3 linked regions of the Schizosaccharomyces pombe genome follow. The gene in region 3 interacts genetically with the main gene of each other region. Each region holds a gene or a part of one and is shown on either strand. Other genes may lie near its edges.

Region 1 (3,762 bases), on a different chromosome or scaffold from region 3:
CGGACTAACTTCAATGGCAATATTGGTGGTTGGTGAAATGGGTGGGAGGATAAAAAACTCAATGTCTTCTTTTAACAGAATTATACCACATTTTCCAGGAAAAGAAGGTGGAGGTGGTGATAATGCAATTTCATCATTAGCGGTACGATTTTCGGCCATTTGAAAATAATTTAATATGTACTGAAGTAATGAAGGATCAAAGTCAGCTGTTTGAAATATTAATGGCCTTTGAGTCAGTTGGCATTCTTGAATCTCATAATCCAACAACAGGCCTCTAGGAAATAAACACATCAAGATGGATTCCGGGAGGCCTAAAAGCTGATCTCTACTCAATTCAAATACTGTGTCACGATCGCATAATTGAATAATAATAGGATCTCCTTCATAATTGAAATCGGGATTGGCTGCTACAGTAGGTATTTCCTGAGCCTGAGTTATCACAGACATGAAGGCACAAAAATTCGAGTGTTTAAAAGAGAAGTTTCAATAAAATAAATTATTTTTTAATCAAGGGTAATGATAAATAAAGATACAATCATATATGCGAATGCAACGTACTTATAGGTACTATGAAAGCGGTGCCTTTGATATCGATGCCTACGCAACCTGCACAGCACAACGTTATATGACCATACATACTCCACTATATAACGCATTTTTCTTAGTGTATAATAAAGTTCGTTAAATCATTAAGATTACTGTAGAACAGGAGTAGCACCAACTTTGGGAGGTAAAACCAAAGGTTGATTGCGATGCCAAAAATTTAAAAGTAGAGAGGAAATCTTAGCGGGAACATCTTCATGAACAAAATGACCAGTTTCAGGAAGAATCTCAAGTTGATATTTTCCTTGCATTTGTCCAATTGTTAACGTTTTATCTAGACGATCGGTACCAGCGACAATAAGCATCCTTCCATATGGTGCTCTTAGGAATTTGTCACTTAAACCCTTAAACCAGTCCATCCAATACGGCGATGTTTTGTAAAGATCGGTTCGCCAAACGAATGTGCCATCTTCCTGCTGAACGAGAAGTGAAGGAACTGTAATACAGGCCGATAATCTGTTTCTAGTAACTAAAGTCTTGATATGCCAAGAAATTGCATCATCAATTGATTTAAAGCTAGTAGGACGATTAGAGAGGTACGTTTTCATAAAACCCAATGCTTCCATCGCAGTCCCTTCAACCACATCAATGACAACAAGTCCAGAAGTATTGGGAATAGTTTTTTGAAAAGCACAGTAAGCACAAATGGCACCTCCTAAGCTATGTCCGACCAAAATGATTTTTTCATCAAGCTCAAACATACGTTGAACATAGGAGACTGCGTGAGTAAAGTCCTTAGATAATGTTTCCAAGCTCATATCTGATTCGGGTTCTAACGTTGTTTCTCCATGAGCTCGAAGGTCCAACGCTAAAAAACCAACCTTATTATCTGAATTACTCAAGAGCTCTTGTGTAACCGGTGCAAATGACATGGCACTTGAGCCAGCACCGTGTTGCAAAACAAGTAAGCAACCATCTGGTTGTGGAAGTGTTAAGTACCCATTGATAGTCCCATTCAAAGCCCCACTTTCACCAGGAATTGTTAACTTTTCATCAAAGTAATTTCGCCAATCGCTTAAACTCTCTTCATTATTTAACATTAGTTCCTTGGTTTCGGATGATTGCTCAGATTCATTCTCATAGAGTGTTTGACTGAGTTCTTCTTTACGAAATGCCATTATAAAGTATTATAATATCTTTTTTAGCTTACACGCAGCACTATAAATAGTTCACACGAATTCCTCGTTGGTTTTATGAAGATAGAATATACAATCCCAGAAGCAGAAACGGACCTGATTGAAAAAAAAAAAAATTAATTCAATGTAATTCTGAAATCGATAAATTTTAAAACAAACAATGTGTATTCCCCAGGTAGCTAAGTTGAGTAAATAATATGCAGTGGAAGTTTCCTGTACTTACTGCGGATTCCTCAATGCTCAAATGATTTACACGCCTTCCATCGCCTACGTAAAAAAATTAACGACGTAACATTTAAATATGTTACCTCGCTTTACACCAACGCTATTTTTCCTTACAGACAAATGTGACTAAAATACAATGGTAAAAGTAAGATTGAAAATCATAATTAATTTATACTTTTTATGCTAGTATGAGACAAAAATATGAGTAGATGAATGTATTATCTACTTTTGGCAATAAGCTGGTTTTATTTGAGACCTGTCATAGAAGATGATTGGGTAGATTTCTCTTGCAACTGTTTAATTAGTAGTAATCGTCCAGCTGGTAGAGCTACCGACATTGGAGTAAAGCTAGCAAACAGCTTTGGATTAACAAAAGGAAGTTCAAAAGGTGTTATTCTAGAAATATCTCTGTGGTCGTGGATACTGGTCTCTATTTTTGCGGTAGAATCATTATTGGCAGAAAAATCCTCCTCAGTAGTCAGTTGAGTTTCATCTTGATTTCTTTTCTTTAACAAGATTGACTTTTTGTTTCTTAAAACTGACGCTTTACTTGAAAGATTCTGCTCATTTTTCTCTCTGGATTGGGTAAACTTAGATAAAGCACGATCTAAGTTCCTATCCTTAGTCTCTTCCTTGTTTTCAACGTTGCTGTCATTAATAACGTCAAAATATTTCTTGCTGCCAAATACGGGCTTTTTTGATGCTGGACGTTCAGCATTTCTTACATTATTCTTTGATGTGGACATTGTAGATGGTGATTGCACATCCATAACACCAGCATTGGACTTAGTGGCTCTTCCAGTAAATGCAAACTGTGTTCTTCGTTTAAAATTATTTTTCCTCAGACTCTCGTTCTCGGTATCCTTCCTCGTTGATCTGGCATCGATTATTTGTGTTCTGTTACGCGGAGTGCGAAGTGGGGATTTTTCTTTTAGCTGAACACGCCGTTTATCCCTTTTCTCAAAAGAAGAACTCTTTTTCTTTTTCTCTTCCATTGTTTCTTTAATGGAAGAAAGCAATGAATCGAAAGATCGTCCACCAAAAATCAATTCAGAGCCTTCGGATCGTAAAGCTGGTTGGGTAGAAAATTGATGGATATTAAATCTAATGCTTTGGAAATTCATCTCATTTTTTTGAAATAAACTTCGTAAAGATGTAGCTTTTGCTCGTTTAATTAATGAGGCCACCATGTTAGTTAATGGTGGTAGTGAATATAGTTCCAATAATCGAAAAATGAACAGCTGTAGCTGAATACTAACGTACAATCAATTACTCGACTTATTTATAAACACAAAGTAGATTCCAGTAAATCAACATTGGATTTACAAGAAAATAAATGTATTCATATATTTTTTTGTGAAATAAGTAATTAAATTAGCAAGATAATTACCATTAATTGAAAAATTAACTTGAAAAAAAAATACAATGATAAATTAAATAAAATAAACTTGTCTAATAATAATATTACATTAACGAACATTATGGCTTTTCAGGAGAAAACATTCATTGAAAGTATTCAAATGAATAGCCATACAAAATCATAGGGATCACATCTGCAAAATATATATGAGAAAGTAGAACAAAATGCTCCATATGGGAATTATTTTAACAACCATAGAAAAACCGGAATACTAAGCCCAATAGATATAGCTGTGATCTTAAAAATATCCATATTCCTCATTGGGAAAAGCATACCTTCAGTGATCCAGAAGTCATAAATAGAGTTGTAAATATAACCAATGGTATTTCTTTTGATACAGTTGTACAAGTTTTTGAAATTTCCGTAAATCGTGCTAAC
Region 2 (4,999 bases), on a different chromosome or scaffold from region 3:
CAAGAAACCCAATGCGCCTTTAAGTGTGAATAGCTACAGCAATCAGCAAGTCAAAGCAAAACGCATTCTTGTCTTTAAAAGAATTTATTTTAATCAATATAACAGTTGAGTTTGGGAATAATTCTAGAGAATGAAGATGTTGTTAGCAATCCTCTTTTCCTAAAACACCCTAACCTACTCCATTTCGTTGAAAAAATAAACCACTTCCCCAATTCTATGATTTTGGGATTTTTTTTGGGACTATATTAGAGAATTTCTTGTTTTATATATATCAACAGGAGCTCATTAACGTCAACACTTGAAAACAAAAAGTATTTGTCAATTATAATTATCACGAGGTTCATTATTGATTTTTCCCGAATAAGATTATCTCCAACCAAGAAAACGGAATCTTTGAATCTAAAAAAACACATTCTTTACGTTTCTTAACATTCCTCGGCATAAATTGTTCTCTTTTGAAAAAATCGTTAGCAAAAGAGTTGCTGAATCGCAAACAAGCTACGAAAATTGCATTATCTTAAAAGAAATTGTGTAAATAACAATTTATAAAGTATTTCGGGACTTTATGAGGCCGACACATTGGTCGAGTAATCAGTGCGAAGTGGATTTTACAGCTGAAGCTCTCACAACCCTTTCTTTGTCAAACCGGAATCATGAGGAAGATCCAATTCAACCTGTGTTAAAAAATTCCAATTTATTTCTCTTGAACAGAGACATATGGTCCTTGATCATTAATTATCTTGATGCATTCGATATATTACGCCTGATGCATTCAAGTAGGCAGTTTTACTATTGGCTTCGTAAATCAGCTGTCGATGAATGCTGTTTTAATAACAATTTTCTTAATTTACAACCTTATCAACGTACAGTTCCTGTTGCCAGTGATTTAGAATGGGCTACTGAAGTTGATCTCTACGGAAACCCACCAATTTTAAAACTCCAACTTCGCGATTCATTTGTCTGGTCAATGCTTGCCAAATTCCAGGGACTTCAGACCATTGCTTTAGACGGAACAGGTGTTACCATTTCTAGTGTAACGAATATCTTGCTGAACATTCCTACCGTTAAAACCTTGAGTATAAGATGGTGTGTTGGTGTTTGCTCTCTATCTCTCATTGAGTTTCTACAAAATTCTAAAAGCAGGACATTTTCATTGGAAAATCTATACGTCCTTGGTGTTAAAGGATTAGAATTACTAAAACCTGTTTTGCTTGATGGCTCTGAGGATGACACATTAACAAGCAATTGGCATAGTCGAGTAATTTTATTTCAAAATGCTTTAGACGCTTTACCAACTACTCATGGTAACCCAGTCGAATGCGATATTTCACGTTGCCCTTTGAATGCATGCAAAATTGCAGGTCAGGAAACTGAGCTTGCCGATCTTTTTTCTTTGCAAAAAGTCCCTGCTTGTATCTATTGCTTAAGGGAATGGAAGAAGCCGATTTGTCGTTATTGCATAGATTTAAGAAGTTGTTTGGTTTGCGATTCATTTGTCTGTCCTTCCTGCATATCGTTGGATTTTGATTTGCAAATACAAGCATTTGCTCGTCAACACCGTGTAATATCTACTTTAGGTGTTGTTTATCCTGAAAGAGAAGACTCTTGTTTCCATAAGATCAAGGCCGCCCAATGGCATCAGATCAGTCCTAGAAGTCTTTTGTTCCAATTCCAAGAGCAGAACCATATTCACCACAAAAAGATTCGCAGGAAGCTGTTAGCGGCTGGATGGAAATGGCCTCAATCACAGATATAGTAAGGGCAAGGCGACCTAGGTGAAAAAACTTTTTACTTTCACAACTCTTCTTTTTCTTTCATGACTAGTCTAATAATGATCTTATGCCATTCTTACTCAGAATTTTCGTTTTCATAACCATGCGAAACTCGTAAAATAATGATATACACTGAAGTAGCTAGCATTGCGTTAGAGGGTGATCTTTGTAGTAACATAACATTTTGAAATGTGCACACTAATGGTTGCTCTGCTGTTCGTCTTTTCTAGCTATTCTTATAACGAAGTAAAAATTTATTGATTAACGCTTAACAAACAGTTGGAAATTCGGTTTGGAATGCTCGTTTTTTAGTAACTGTGTTTATGTCTAAGCGCAATCCTCCTGTGACTAATATCGCGGACTTGGTGTCAGATTCTTCCTTAGATGAAGACTCGCTTTCTTTTCTCGAAGAGCTTCAGGATCCAGAATTATACTTCAAAAATGACACTTTCTCTTCCAAGAGTAGCCATTCTGATGGCACCGTTACTGGGGATACGTTGCGTAGGCAGTCAAGCGGTGCAACTGCTTTAGAGAGATTGGTCTCACATCCTCGTACTAAAAATTTTGATTTGCAAGGAAATGGAGGACAAAATTCTGCTTTGAAGGAAGTGAATACTCCAGCATATCAGTCAATGCACCATTTCGAGCATTTAATAACACCCTTGCCCTCTACTAATGCGTCTCACAGTGAAGTTTCACTCAGTGCAGGAGTGAATGATCTCAATTCTAATTCGGAGCATGATTTGTTACCTAAAAGTGTAAACAAAACCCCCGGTTCTTTATCAATTTCAAGACGACGAAGAATCGGCAGAATTGGATTAGGCCCTCCAAAGCGTGCTGAGTACACGTTGACGGATCCCTCGAAGACTTCCGATACCAAAAACTCTACAGAAGCAGATGAGGATATTGAAATGAAATCTCGAGAAGTATCACCAGCTTCCAACTCTGTTGCTGCAACAACTTTAAAACCTCTGCAGCTGCATAACACTCCTTTGCAAACATCCCAGGAGCATCCCAAACCTTCTTTTCATCCTTCTCAGTTTGAGAGCTCTTTTTCTCCTAGGGTGCAGTTTGATCACGATGTTGAAAGAAGAGCTAGTGAACTTCATTCTCGTCCAGTCACCGTTTTCCAAGAGCCTCAGCGTTCTGCTTCTCAACCATATGAATCTCATGCTCTTTCTCCAAAGGTGGCTCCGTTATTTGATAACAGTCAAGCTACTCCCATACCCAAGCGTCAGCAGGACGTTGTTACTGTTGCCAATCTACAATTTATCAAATTAGGAGTTGTTGGAAAGGGTGGAAGTAGTATGGTATATCGCATATTTTCCCCCGATAACAGTCGTTTATACGCTTTGAAAGAGGTGAACTTTATTAATGCAGACCAAACTACTATACAAGGATACAAGAACGAAATTGCATTATTAAGAAAGCTTTCAGGCAATGATCGCATAATTAAATTATATGCTGCCGAAGTTAATGATACTTTAGGGCAACTCAATATGGTGATGGAATGCGGAGAAACGGATTTAGCAAACCTTTTAATGAAAAACATGAAGAAACCCATTAATCTTAATTTCATCAGAATGTATTGGGAGCAAATGCTAGAGGCGGTCCAGGTAGTTCATGATCAAAATATAGTGCATTCGGATTTGAAGCCGGCCAATTTCCTGCTTGTAGAAGGGAATTTGAAGCTGATTGATTTTGGCATTGCCAAAGCAATTGGTAATGACACCACTAATATCCATCGTGATTCCCACATCGGTACTATTAATTATATGGCACCTGAAGCTTTGACAGACATGAATGCTCACACAAACTCTGGCGTGAAACTCGTAAAGTTGGGCAGGCCCAGCGACGTGTGGAGTTTGGGATGTATATTATATCAGATGGTGTATGGGAGGGCCCCGTTTGCTCATCTAAAAATGATCCAAGCTATAGCAGCTATCCCTAATGAACAATATCACATTCATTTCCCCGAAGTTGCCTTACCTGCTAATGCTGTCCAGGAGAAAGAGGGATCGTTGCCAGGTGTAACTGTCGGGCCTGATCTAATGGATGTTATGAAAAGATGCCTGGAAAGGGATCAACGGAAGAGACTTACAATACCGGAATTGCTGGTTCATCCCTTTTTAAACCCTTTGCCATCCTATTTGACACCTTTGGCCAAAAAGCCGTTACCTGTTTCTGGGCACACCAATAATGCTCATCCACTTAGACTCAGCACAGAAATCTCAGCTTCTCAATTATCAATGATTATAGAAAGGTCGGTGGAGTTGAGTAAGCACAAGCGATTAAATAAGGAACTTATTGATAGCATGGCTTATGATTGCGTTAGCAATTTACGAAAAATGCCAGAATAGAGGCACTAAATTTTCCGATTATTCTTAAAAAGGTTTTATCTTTTACAAAGTTTCCCAAACATCATACGAGTTTCTTAATGTTAACGACTTTTTTAGGGAGCTTAAAGGCTTTTTTTTTTTAATCTTTAATTTTTCGCTCTTTTAAAAGAAGGTAATTATGACCTTGATTAATGAACCACATATTATATGGCCCCTGATATCTATACTTTGATACTATGTAAATATAAAGAACGCTATACTCCCAAACGCTATAAGTTGTTTGTTTACGATATAATACCTTTTTGTGTTTGTTTTTTTTAGGTAAAGCAACCAAATGAATGATGCTTTTTTATAAGAAACTTTTTTAATATAATTGGGTTATATTAGACATTAAAAAAAAACCCCATAACTAATGTAAAACAAAAACCTTTAAAAATAATGTACCGCCGGTAGAGATGATTATTAACGCCATAAATGTTGGTGCAGGAAGGGAATAAAACAGGTTCAATGGAATATCGATAATCCTAAAAAAACTTGTGAAAAAATCTAAGTTAAATCTAATCACTATCCAAAAATTTATTGGCAGAAGCACCCAGATACAGGCGTAGAGTGTTAGGGGAGCAATTTACCAATTTGCAGCGAACCTTTTTGCGCCCTGCTTCATCGTGAGCACGTAGTCGATGACAGCCCCCAAAGGCAAAATAATAAGGCTTCCCACTCTTTTTAAACGTTAAAACATCAACAGGAGGAAGCTCACCAGCTTCCAAATCTTCTGAAGTCAAACCGCATGAAGCTGGAGGAGTTTTCCCTGTCATGGTTTCCATCATACTATTGACTTTGTTCATATCTAAAACAGGAGGTATAGGACGAATTAACTCAGACATATCA
Region 3 (8,398 bases):
GATATTCCTTAAAATATTTGACTAAAAAATATCTGGGAACAACAATACAAACTTCTACACACGATAGCGAAGAAGACGCTGTTTCAGCATTACAACTTGTCTTTTATAAGACAAAATCAAATGAAAGTCAAAACTAAGAGTAATAATGTTTTCAAATTCAAGAGATAGATCATATCACAAAGTAATTTTGTTGGATATATAGATTTCTGATACTAAGCATAATGAGAGGAGAGAGATAGTAATTGTAAACCCAATAAGGAAAGGGTAGGGAAGAATTTTGTAAATCCTTCTACCAAAATGAATACTTCATTCTCATCATTATTCCTCCACCAACTAAACCACATATTAGTAAAATGACAATTATTGACACAATTTAGAAGTATAGAAAAATGCTGCAAACCATAGCTGCTTATCGATTCTTCAGTCATTAACTTACGTGTCTTCCATGTTTGGAATTGAGGAATTCATTACGCTCCTTCCCCCAACAGTAAATATAGTAAGCTATTCCAAACGGAATTGCTACGTATAGACCTTCAGTCATGACGCGACGAAACATATTTTGCGTAGAAGTTTTGAAGAAGCCGGCCATTGGTCTCTGTTGAAATGGGGAAAGGGAATATGTTATGATTCCTTTTTGTTTAGGTCCACCTCTTATTAAAGTAAGTAAAAATGTATCAAATTGTTATAGCACTTACAGATGGCCCCACCATCCTCTATTCATGTGTTAGTATAAATAAAAACGTTCAATGATATTCTCAGCAGCTATTTGAATGTATATAACTTCGCTGACGAAAATGGCTTTACGAAATAAACACCAATTGTGTCCACCGTCTCACGCTATAAGCGTCAAAGAAAAGTCATATAACCCATTATAAACAGAAACTGCTTTAAGTTGCACTTACAAATAAGTTTTTCCTCCAGCAGCACCACCCATTTTGTTAAAACAATAATATATTGATGATTGCCGTTACAAAGTCAGATGTTTGTTAAGGGTAAGTGTGCGGGTCTGCTAGACCAATAATAATTCAGACGTTTACAAATTCTTGGTTTTTTATTCAAGATTTTTATTTAGTTTTACTATTAAAATTCTAAATAATAAGATCATGTATTTATTAATCATGAATATAGATTTTCCTAGAGGTTGCAGTTAAGTCATACTTAGTCTTGCTCAAACGGACTTCCCTTTCAGTTTGGTCTTTTAGTCCAGCGCTCAACGTACTATTAAAGAGATGGCTGTAGTACTGGAGAGAGTTGCACGTTATGCAATACCAATAGGTATTGGATTTACTCTATTACAATCTTCGATTTACGATGTACCGGGGGGAAAAAGAGCAGTTTTGTTTGACCGTCTGTCGGGTGTGCAGAAACAGGTTGTTCAGGAGGGCACACACTTTTTGATTCCATGGTTACAAAAGGCAATTGTTTATGATGTACGCACACGTCCACGAAATATCGCAACTACTACGGGTAGTAAAGATTTACAGATGGTTTCTTTAACATTGCGTGTATTACACCGTCCCGAAGTTGGAATGCTTCCTCAAATTTACCAAAATTTAGGCTTAGATTATGATGAGCGTGTCTTACCTTCTATTGGAAACGAAATTTTAAAATCCGTAGTTGCTCAGTTTGATGCAGCAGAGCTCATTACTCAAAGAGAAGTAGTTTCTGCCAAAATTCGCCAAGAACTAGTTCAACGAGCTACCGAATTTGGAATTCGGTTGGAAGATGTATCCATTACTCATATGACTTTTGGAAAAGAATTTACGAAAGCCGTAGAGAGAAAACAAATTGCTCAACAAGAAGCCGAGCGTGCTAGATTTTTAGTAGAACAATCCGAACAAGAGCGACAAGCTAATGTTATTCGCGCTGAGGGTGAAGCAGAAGCGGCTGATATTGTTTCCAAAGCACTTGATAAAGCCGGTGGCGCTTTAATCCAAATTCGTCGTCTCGAGACAAGTAAAGAGGTGGCTACTGCACTTGCTAATAAAGGTGCACAGGTCACTTATCTTCCCTTTGGAGCTGGTTCTAATGCCCAAAGTTCCAGTGGTTCTGGGTTGCTTCTTAATGTAAATCCTTAATTCATTCCATGTATCTGCTTCTAGCAGCAAATTCATAAGGTTTATTCGAGCTCCCCTAAACATATCAGCTTTATCTTATTATCCCTTTAAAATTAAAGAGATGTTATATAAAAGTTGTACTTTTCCACGCATTATGATTTTGACAAATTTGGGTTCTTAACGAAAATAAATATTTCCAAATTTTTTTATTTCAGAACTCAAAATTATGATTTGTCACCTTATTTTTAAAACGACAATTATTTTGGGTTTTGTGCTGATGAAATGGCTATATTAATGCTGCTAAAATTAGGGTTGATTGTTTATGTAGAGTTTTTTTAGCATAATGAAATAAACAAATATGCTGTACTGTTGGTAATTTTATTGACTTTAGATATTACTTTTAAAGTAAACAGACAAATATGGGTATCGCATAAATTCGTGAAGATTCGTTAAAAACGCCTTTTTTCCCTCGAGAATTTTTAATCAAACGGAATCCTACTTCCATTATTTTTGGCAGCAGAGATCGCACTTGGTATCTTGATGCCACAACAGTCAGCATAATGAGAATGAACATGTGTCACCTCAGAATCATCACCGTCTTGGGGAGCAGGAGACATCCCAGGTGAAGCTGGGATTAAATGGCCAAAAAGATAGTGCTGCATTATAGGAAGTTTACCCAAAACTTCTGCTCTATACATTTTTATCATGCCTTCGTTGACTTTAGACCAAGTCTTTACGGCAGAAATATCGTCAATCATTGGAGAATGGAAACGTAGTGAAACAGAAGGCTTCAACTTATTTAAAAAGTAAACATAACCTAAGTACATATAATCAGCGCGACACATCTCCAAAATTTCTGGATCTCTAACATGTTTGGGACGCAAATATTTATGATTAACCAACTGAGCTGCACCAAACAAAAAAGGGAGGAAATGAAAATCATCTAATCCCCATACACCATGAGATCCTGCTGGTTCGAGAGTATAAAAAATTTGCAAAGACCTCATCAATTCAACATACTTAACAAAAACTCGAACGACCAATGCTGGATAATCATTTTTAGTAAAAATGCCTAGTTGCTTTAAAATTAGTAACCATGACATAAAGTAAAGTTCATGACCACTTCCATAATCTATTCGCTTTCTGTTTCCAAAGCTTTCATAAAAATATCGACCTGCCTCCATCGCCGCATTATGCTCAATTCCAAATACTTGGTGCAACTTTGGTGTTTCAATGTATACCTGATCGTAAAATGATTGAAATGCAGGATTGCCAAACCTCGACCCCATATTATCAATTGCAGGATTTTCCTGTTTAATTTCTCCAACTCGATCTAGTATATTTAATACATGCTCTATTGATGAGCTTTGCGGAATTGAAGCTGAAATAGGCTTGTCTTTCACAGCTTCGTCAAGATCACAAATAAACGAATCAATTAACTTATAAGCATCTCCTTCTTTAAATAATTTTAAGTCTTCATTGTCTAAAATTCGTCGGACAGGAACGAAACACCGGTTTTGCTCTTCTCTAGAAAGCATGTTGGCATAACTTGATCGGTTAAGACAAGATTAACAAAAGCCTTAAAAATTATACAGTTGGACGCTCTTCAATATTCCTTATGTTGTTATTTGTTATGTCAGTCGTCAGTACGTTACATTTCATTATTGTAATTAGCTATAATCAGTGAGAACATTTTTTAAAGAAAGAAATGTAGAAATTTTTTTTTTTTTTTTCAAAATTGTTTTAAGGAAATAATTTCGACTACTAAAGTTATTTTTCATACCAATGTGTTCTTTTATTCTATGTGTAAACAGATACAGTGTAATAAGCGTTTATTAATTGCTTGATATACAACAACATATTTATGATTCACATGAAGTGTACATGTCATTAATTCTAGCCATCGACAAATATTTAAAAATATAAAAAGGAAGGGCCAAAGATGGAGGTATTGTAATAGTACTAGACATGGGAAGCTAATTGATATGAAGGAGATAGCCGGCATAAACAAATAAGTGCTCCGCTTTTTGAAAATAGTTAAATAAACGCGGATTGTTTAATGATTTTATCGCAAGAAAAAAGCACCGACCTAATTGTCTCATACCGGAACATTAAAGGATAGAATATACATGAGAGAAAATGTATTCCTTGTTAAAAAAGCCTGAAGTAAACATTAAATGATTAAACGTTTCTTAAGAAAAGAGAGGTACTGATATCCAAGTTAAAAATAGAGACTCATAAATGCTTGCAGCCATTTTGAAAATGCTTGTTTACAGCTTAAACTCTCAATCCAACCAACCTAAAAATATAACCCGAGTAAAAATAAGTTCTAATAATCTCATTTTCCTAGACGTTTCCTAAGTGCTCGTTGTCGGCGTAAGCGCTTTTTGAACTTATGTTTATTCATTTTCAATTTTCTTTTTCGTTTGACACTGGTCAAATCTAAAGGTGTAATAGAAATCAGCTTATCACATATTTGTTCCCATACTTGAGTAGATATACGAGCGGGTTGAGTTTGAGTTACGGATCCAGATGCAGAGAATGATTGAGCATACAAATAGCCATCCTCTAAAGATAACACATATTCCTGGGGTTGATCTTCCTCATCCTGCGATTGCGAAACTTGTGTTTTGGACTCAACTTTAGGCACACATATTTGATTAGCTGACAAAGGTCGATATCCAGCAAAGAAATTTGCTTTTGCGATTTCTACGCAATGAAGTTAGAAATAGAAGTATTTAATTTACTTACGACGATATGAAACGTGTGAAGTTGTAGGAACCGTTGGTAGGTTATATTTCGACCCAACTTCGGGAGAAGCTGAAACATGCCAAATCGGTATGGGACTACGCAGTGAAAGGCCGTTTAAACCTTTTAATATTGTGGAAAGCGCACCTCTTCGTAACATGGGTGACCAAGGCGAAAAATGTGTTGTACTCTTTGCACTGCGGGAAGGTAAGAATTGGTATGCTTATGCTAAACACTTACAAAGAGGAAGGGTGGTGCACATTTGATATTAATTCAGAAGAATGTTGTATTTAAATATATATGTGATGTTAAATAAAATTAATGCTAAATGAAATACAAAATTGTCCTTATGTATATACAGATGTTAGGTACGTTTTCGCTTCGAGAGTGGGCTGTCAGAATGAAGTCCACCGAGACGATGCAAATTTTTTTGCAAGATTGGGTTTTTAGGATCATACCAAGCAGATCCTTCTTTTGTAGTATCTTCATTTGCCAAATGCGTCCAGCGTGTTTGGCCTGCCTTCGCAAAAAGATCTCCCCTAATTTGCATAGGTTTGGGTAATAAATCTTTATTAAGAACTTCCCCTTCTGTGGCTTCTGAATAATCTCTTTTACTCACAATATCTTCGTTTTGATAGAATGCACCCTTATGATAGTACTTTTGTAAGAACTGCATAGATGACTTTTTCTTTCCTCTCCGACTTGCTTCAGCGTCCTTCAAATCTTGGGCTTCGCGTTCCTCAGAATTCATTAATCTTCTTTCTTCAATTGCCATCTTTTCCCTTTCTAATTCCAGTGACTTTTCCTTGTCTCTCTTTTTCCTAAGCAAATGCCTTAATTTCCATAATTCATATTCACTTTGCGGATCAATTCCATCGGTATCATCGATATCATTTAATAATTCATTATTGTTTTTAGTTTCTTTCAATAGTAATTCCCGTTTTATAGTCTCTTCTAATATTTTTTGTGAAGTCACTTTTTTAAGCACCTCAGTATCTTCTTCATTGGCTTTTGCCCGATTTTTGATGACTTTACTAGTAAATTTTGGCGGAAGAAGAAGTGTCCGCCTTCTCAGCTCCATCTCATATTCCGAATCAGAAGAGTCTTCTTCTTCAGAACTAGATGCTGCAGAGTTAGATCCCCCTTCTGCCGATGATGCGTCAGTCTCATATTCTGAAGCAGAGTTATCAATTGTTTGGACTGGGTTAATGTTTTGGAAATTAGAAGACGTTTTGGTTTCAGATATTCCTTCTTTCTCGAATACTGGAGTAATAACATGTCTTGATGAAGAAATCGAGTTTTCTTGATCATGTGAATCGGAAACTTCTTCATAATCACTTTCAGAAGAAGACTCACTTTCCAGCCCTTCCAATCTACCAGAGCGATATCTTGAAATAGGTTTATGGGGTATCAACGGTGTATCTATTGGCATCTTGACAAACGCTTTTTATTAAATTGGTTGGCAAATTTCAATCAACCGGTAAAACAATATAAATATGAATTGGAAATTATATATCTATTATCTACCACCCAAGATAAAACTGTATATCTGATATAATAGATTGTATGTATGCAATTTGTGGTACGGTGCCACTTACAAAGAGGTTTCGGGGCACTTACCAATGCGAGAACAAATATCACAAGCACACATTCTAGTCAAATGAACGAGAATCCTGGCATAATTTATATTTAGCTGAAAGTTTGTAAAATTGAATTGCCTTTTGTAAAATACATCGTTTCAGTTTATGGTCAATGTAATGTATTTCCAAAAACAACCGTTGTCAACCCTTTGAGACCTTCATAAAAATTATTTAGATGCTACATACAATATATCCTTTGAAAATACCCTCCTATAATTAGTAAAAATGATGTACTTTTCAAGATCCTAAAATTCGTTGAAGTGGTTTTAAAAAATATAGAGTTCTTGACTTGAAATCTGTCAGCATCTCACTTTTTCATACCAAAATAACTTTGAAGAAATAAAACCAAACGTATACTTGTAATTTTGTTATATTGATTATATTTCTCAATTCAATTCACCTTCTAATTCTAAATACAGATAGCGAGCGCTGGCAACTAGCAACAATAGTGAAGTTAAGTTCAACTATCGTAATATAACCATTAATTGAGAGTACATACTTCCCAGAGCTTGATACTACCGTAAAATAGCAAAAATCAGGTGCATATAATTGGTGCGACGTTGAGAAAACAAAAGTACGAACGAAATATTCATCGAAACTCTCTACATTTTCTTTCCGAAAAAAACTTATTAGTTTTACATTCTCTTTCTAAACCACGGAGTACAGTCTCTAGAAGTTAATAGTTGCTCATTTGTCGTCTTCTGATTTCACGATGTTGTTCTCTTTTCGAGCGATAGTTCTTTTTTATTGTTGTATGCTAACATTTGCTGGCATTGGATTTTTATGGAATCCCAAGTTTGTAGTAGAAAGTGGACTGGTCGCGTTAATTGGTGCTTCTATGGAAGTTGTATGTGATTATAACTTTATTGTTTTAGTAGATAGTATTTTTTTTTTTTTTTTAATTTCTTGATTAATGTTTGAAGTGATATCTGACCATTATAATTTAGAAACCATTGATAGTAACACAAGACAACTTATCGACTCTTGCATTGTCCGGCTTGGTATTTTTGATTCTTGGAATGATTTATACTATCTCATTGTTACAAAGCAATTTCCTGTTCTTCAGTGGAATTACTCCAATTCGTGCTATATTTGACTTTATCCTTACCGGCTTTATTTACCTCAAAAAAGAGCATATCGCTAGCAACAGCCTTACTTTTACTTTTGCATTTTGCGATTTGATGTGGCAGTTTTGGATGTTTGCAGCAATGAGCGAAGAGAGGGCTAAATACTTGAAAAACCAAAAAAAGGCCGAAGAATTAGCCGCTAGAAAAGCACGTGAAGTTGAAGAATCTTAAAAAAAAAAACCAAGTGACTGGCATCTAGTATTCTTCACTTGTTGTTTATTTGTTGTAAAAGCTATTATTATCGTTATTGGATTTTCAACATCAATCGCTTACATTCTAGGTTTAAAATCAAATATGAATACATTAGTCAAAGGTTTGTATAAAATATTCTTTAATTAATCCTTTACAATGTTAGCATTAGAAATGAGTGTTTAGAAAGTTCAAATGGCTGATCAGCTTTATCACTAGCTATAAATATAATGAAGCTAATTTCTTAAAACACTTAAATAATTTTCGCCGAAGATGACTTCAGCATAATCTTTTGCTTTTGGTGACGGATTGTCTTCGTAACAACGATAAAGAATATCTTTATACAGTAAGAATTCCTCGTTAGACATTATCTTTTTTAAGTGAGGAGCATTTTTCAGAATTGCTAATTTCACATTCCAATGTAAATAATTTTCATCAAGGGCATTTGACAAGTAAGTTAGCAACATCTCATTACAATTCTTATTTCCAGGTCTGCTGGAATTAAACATGGCATAGACGCTATTGCGCTGAAGCGCAATTTTTTCCTCAAGATTCAATTCATCATCTTTATCAAACCATTCCTTCTGCAAAAATGTACCACATTCATTTAATGATAGTTCATACAAATCAAGCTCTC

Evidence for each region. Genes that interact genetically often act in the same process or in processes that back each other up.
Region 1: mutations in ypa2 (region 3) and SPOM_SPBP4H10.17C together harm fitness more than expected from each alone (negative genetic interaction), as found in Schizosaccharomyces pombe (2 studies listed by BioGRID).
Region 2: mutations in ypa2 (region 3) and mph1 together harm fitness more than expected from each alone (negative genetic interaction), as found in Schizosaccharomyces pombe (2 studies listed by BioGRID).

Annotation. Positions count from the first base shown.
Region 1 is NC_003423.3:2,906,678-2,910,439, forward strand, and holds SPOM_SPBP4H10.17C (carboxyl methyl esterase), read right to left. Parts: upstream 1,944-3,762; 5' UTR 1,722-1,943; coding exon 696-1,721; 3' UTR 501-695; downstream 1-500. Other genes in the region: SPOM_SPBP4H10.16C (phosphatase activator), read right to left, coding at 1-447; SPOM_SPBP4H10.18C (uncharacterized protein), read right to left, coding at 2,210-3,154; SPOM_SPBP4H10.19C (calreticulin/calnexin-like protein), read right to left, coding at 3,565-3,762. UniProt on the Schizosaccharomyces pombe protein: Demethylates proteins that have been reversibly carboxymethylated. Demethylates the phosphatase PP2A catalytic subunit.
Region 2 is NC_003423.3:371,794-376,792, forward strand, and holds mph1 (dual-specificity protein kinase Mph1), read left to right. Parts: upstream 1-2,000; 5' UTR 2,001-2,095; coding exon 2,096-4,132; 3' UTR 4,133-4,499; downstream 4,500-4,999. Other genes in the region: F-box protein Pof13, read left to right, coding at 566-1,756; srx1 (sulfiredoxin), read right to left, coding at 4,669-4,999. UniProt on the Schizosaccharomyces pombe protein: Involved in mitotic spindle assembly checkpoint signaling, a process that delays anaphase until chromosomes are bioriented on the spindle, and in the repair of incorrect mitotic kinetochore-spindle microtubule attachments.
Region 3 is NC_003424.3:4,759,646-4,768,043, reverse strand, and holds ypa2 (serine/threonine-protein phosphatase 2A activator 2), read right to left. Parts: upstream 3,617-8,398; 5' UTR 3,596-3,616; coding exon 2,537-3,595; 3' UTR 2,302-2,536; downstream 1-2,301. Other genes in the region: exonuclease Rex3, read left to right, coding at 1-137; qcr8 (ubiquinol-cytochrome-c reductase complex subunit 7), read right to left, coding at 319-333, 437-650, 696-713, 903-934; prohibitin Phb1, read left to right, coding at 1,230-2,078; cox24 (mitochondrial 37S ribosomal protein mS38 ), read right to left, coding at 4,396-4,766, 4,809-4,965; splicing-associated factor Saf3, read right to left, coding at 5,170-6,237; SPOM_SPAC1782.02C (uncharacterized protein), read left to right, coding at 7,158-7,292, 7,393-7,743; proteasome assembly chaperone Ecm29, read right to left, coding at 7,998-8,398.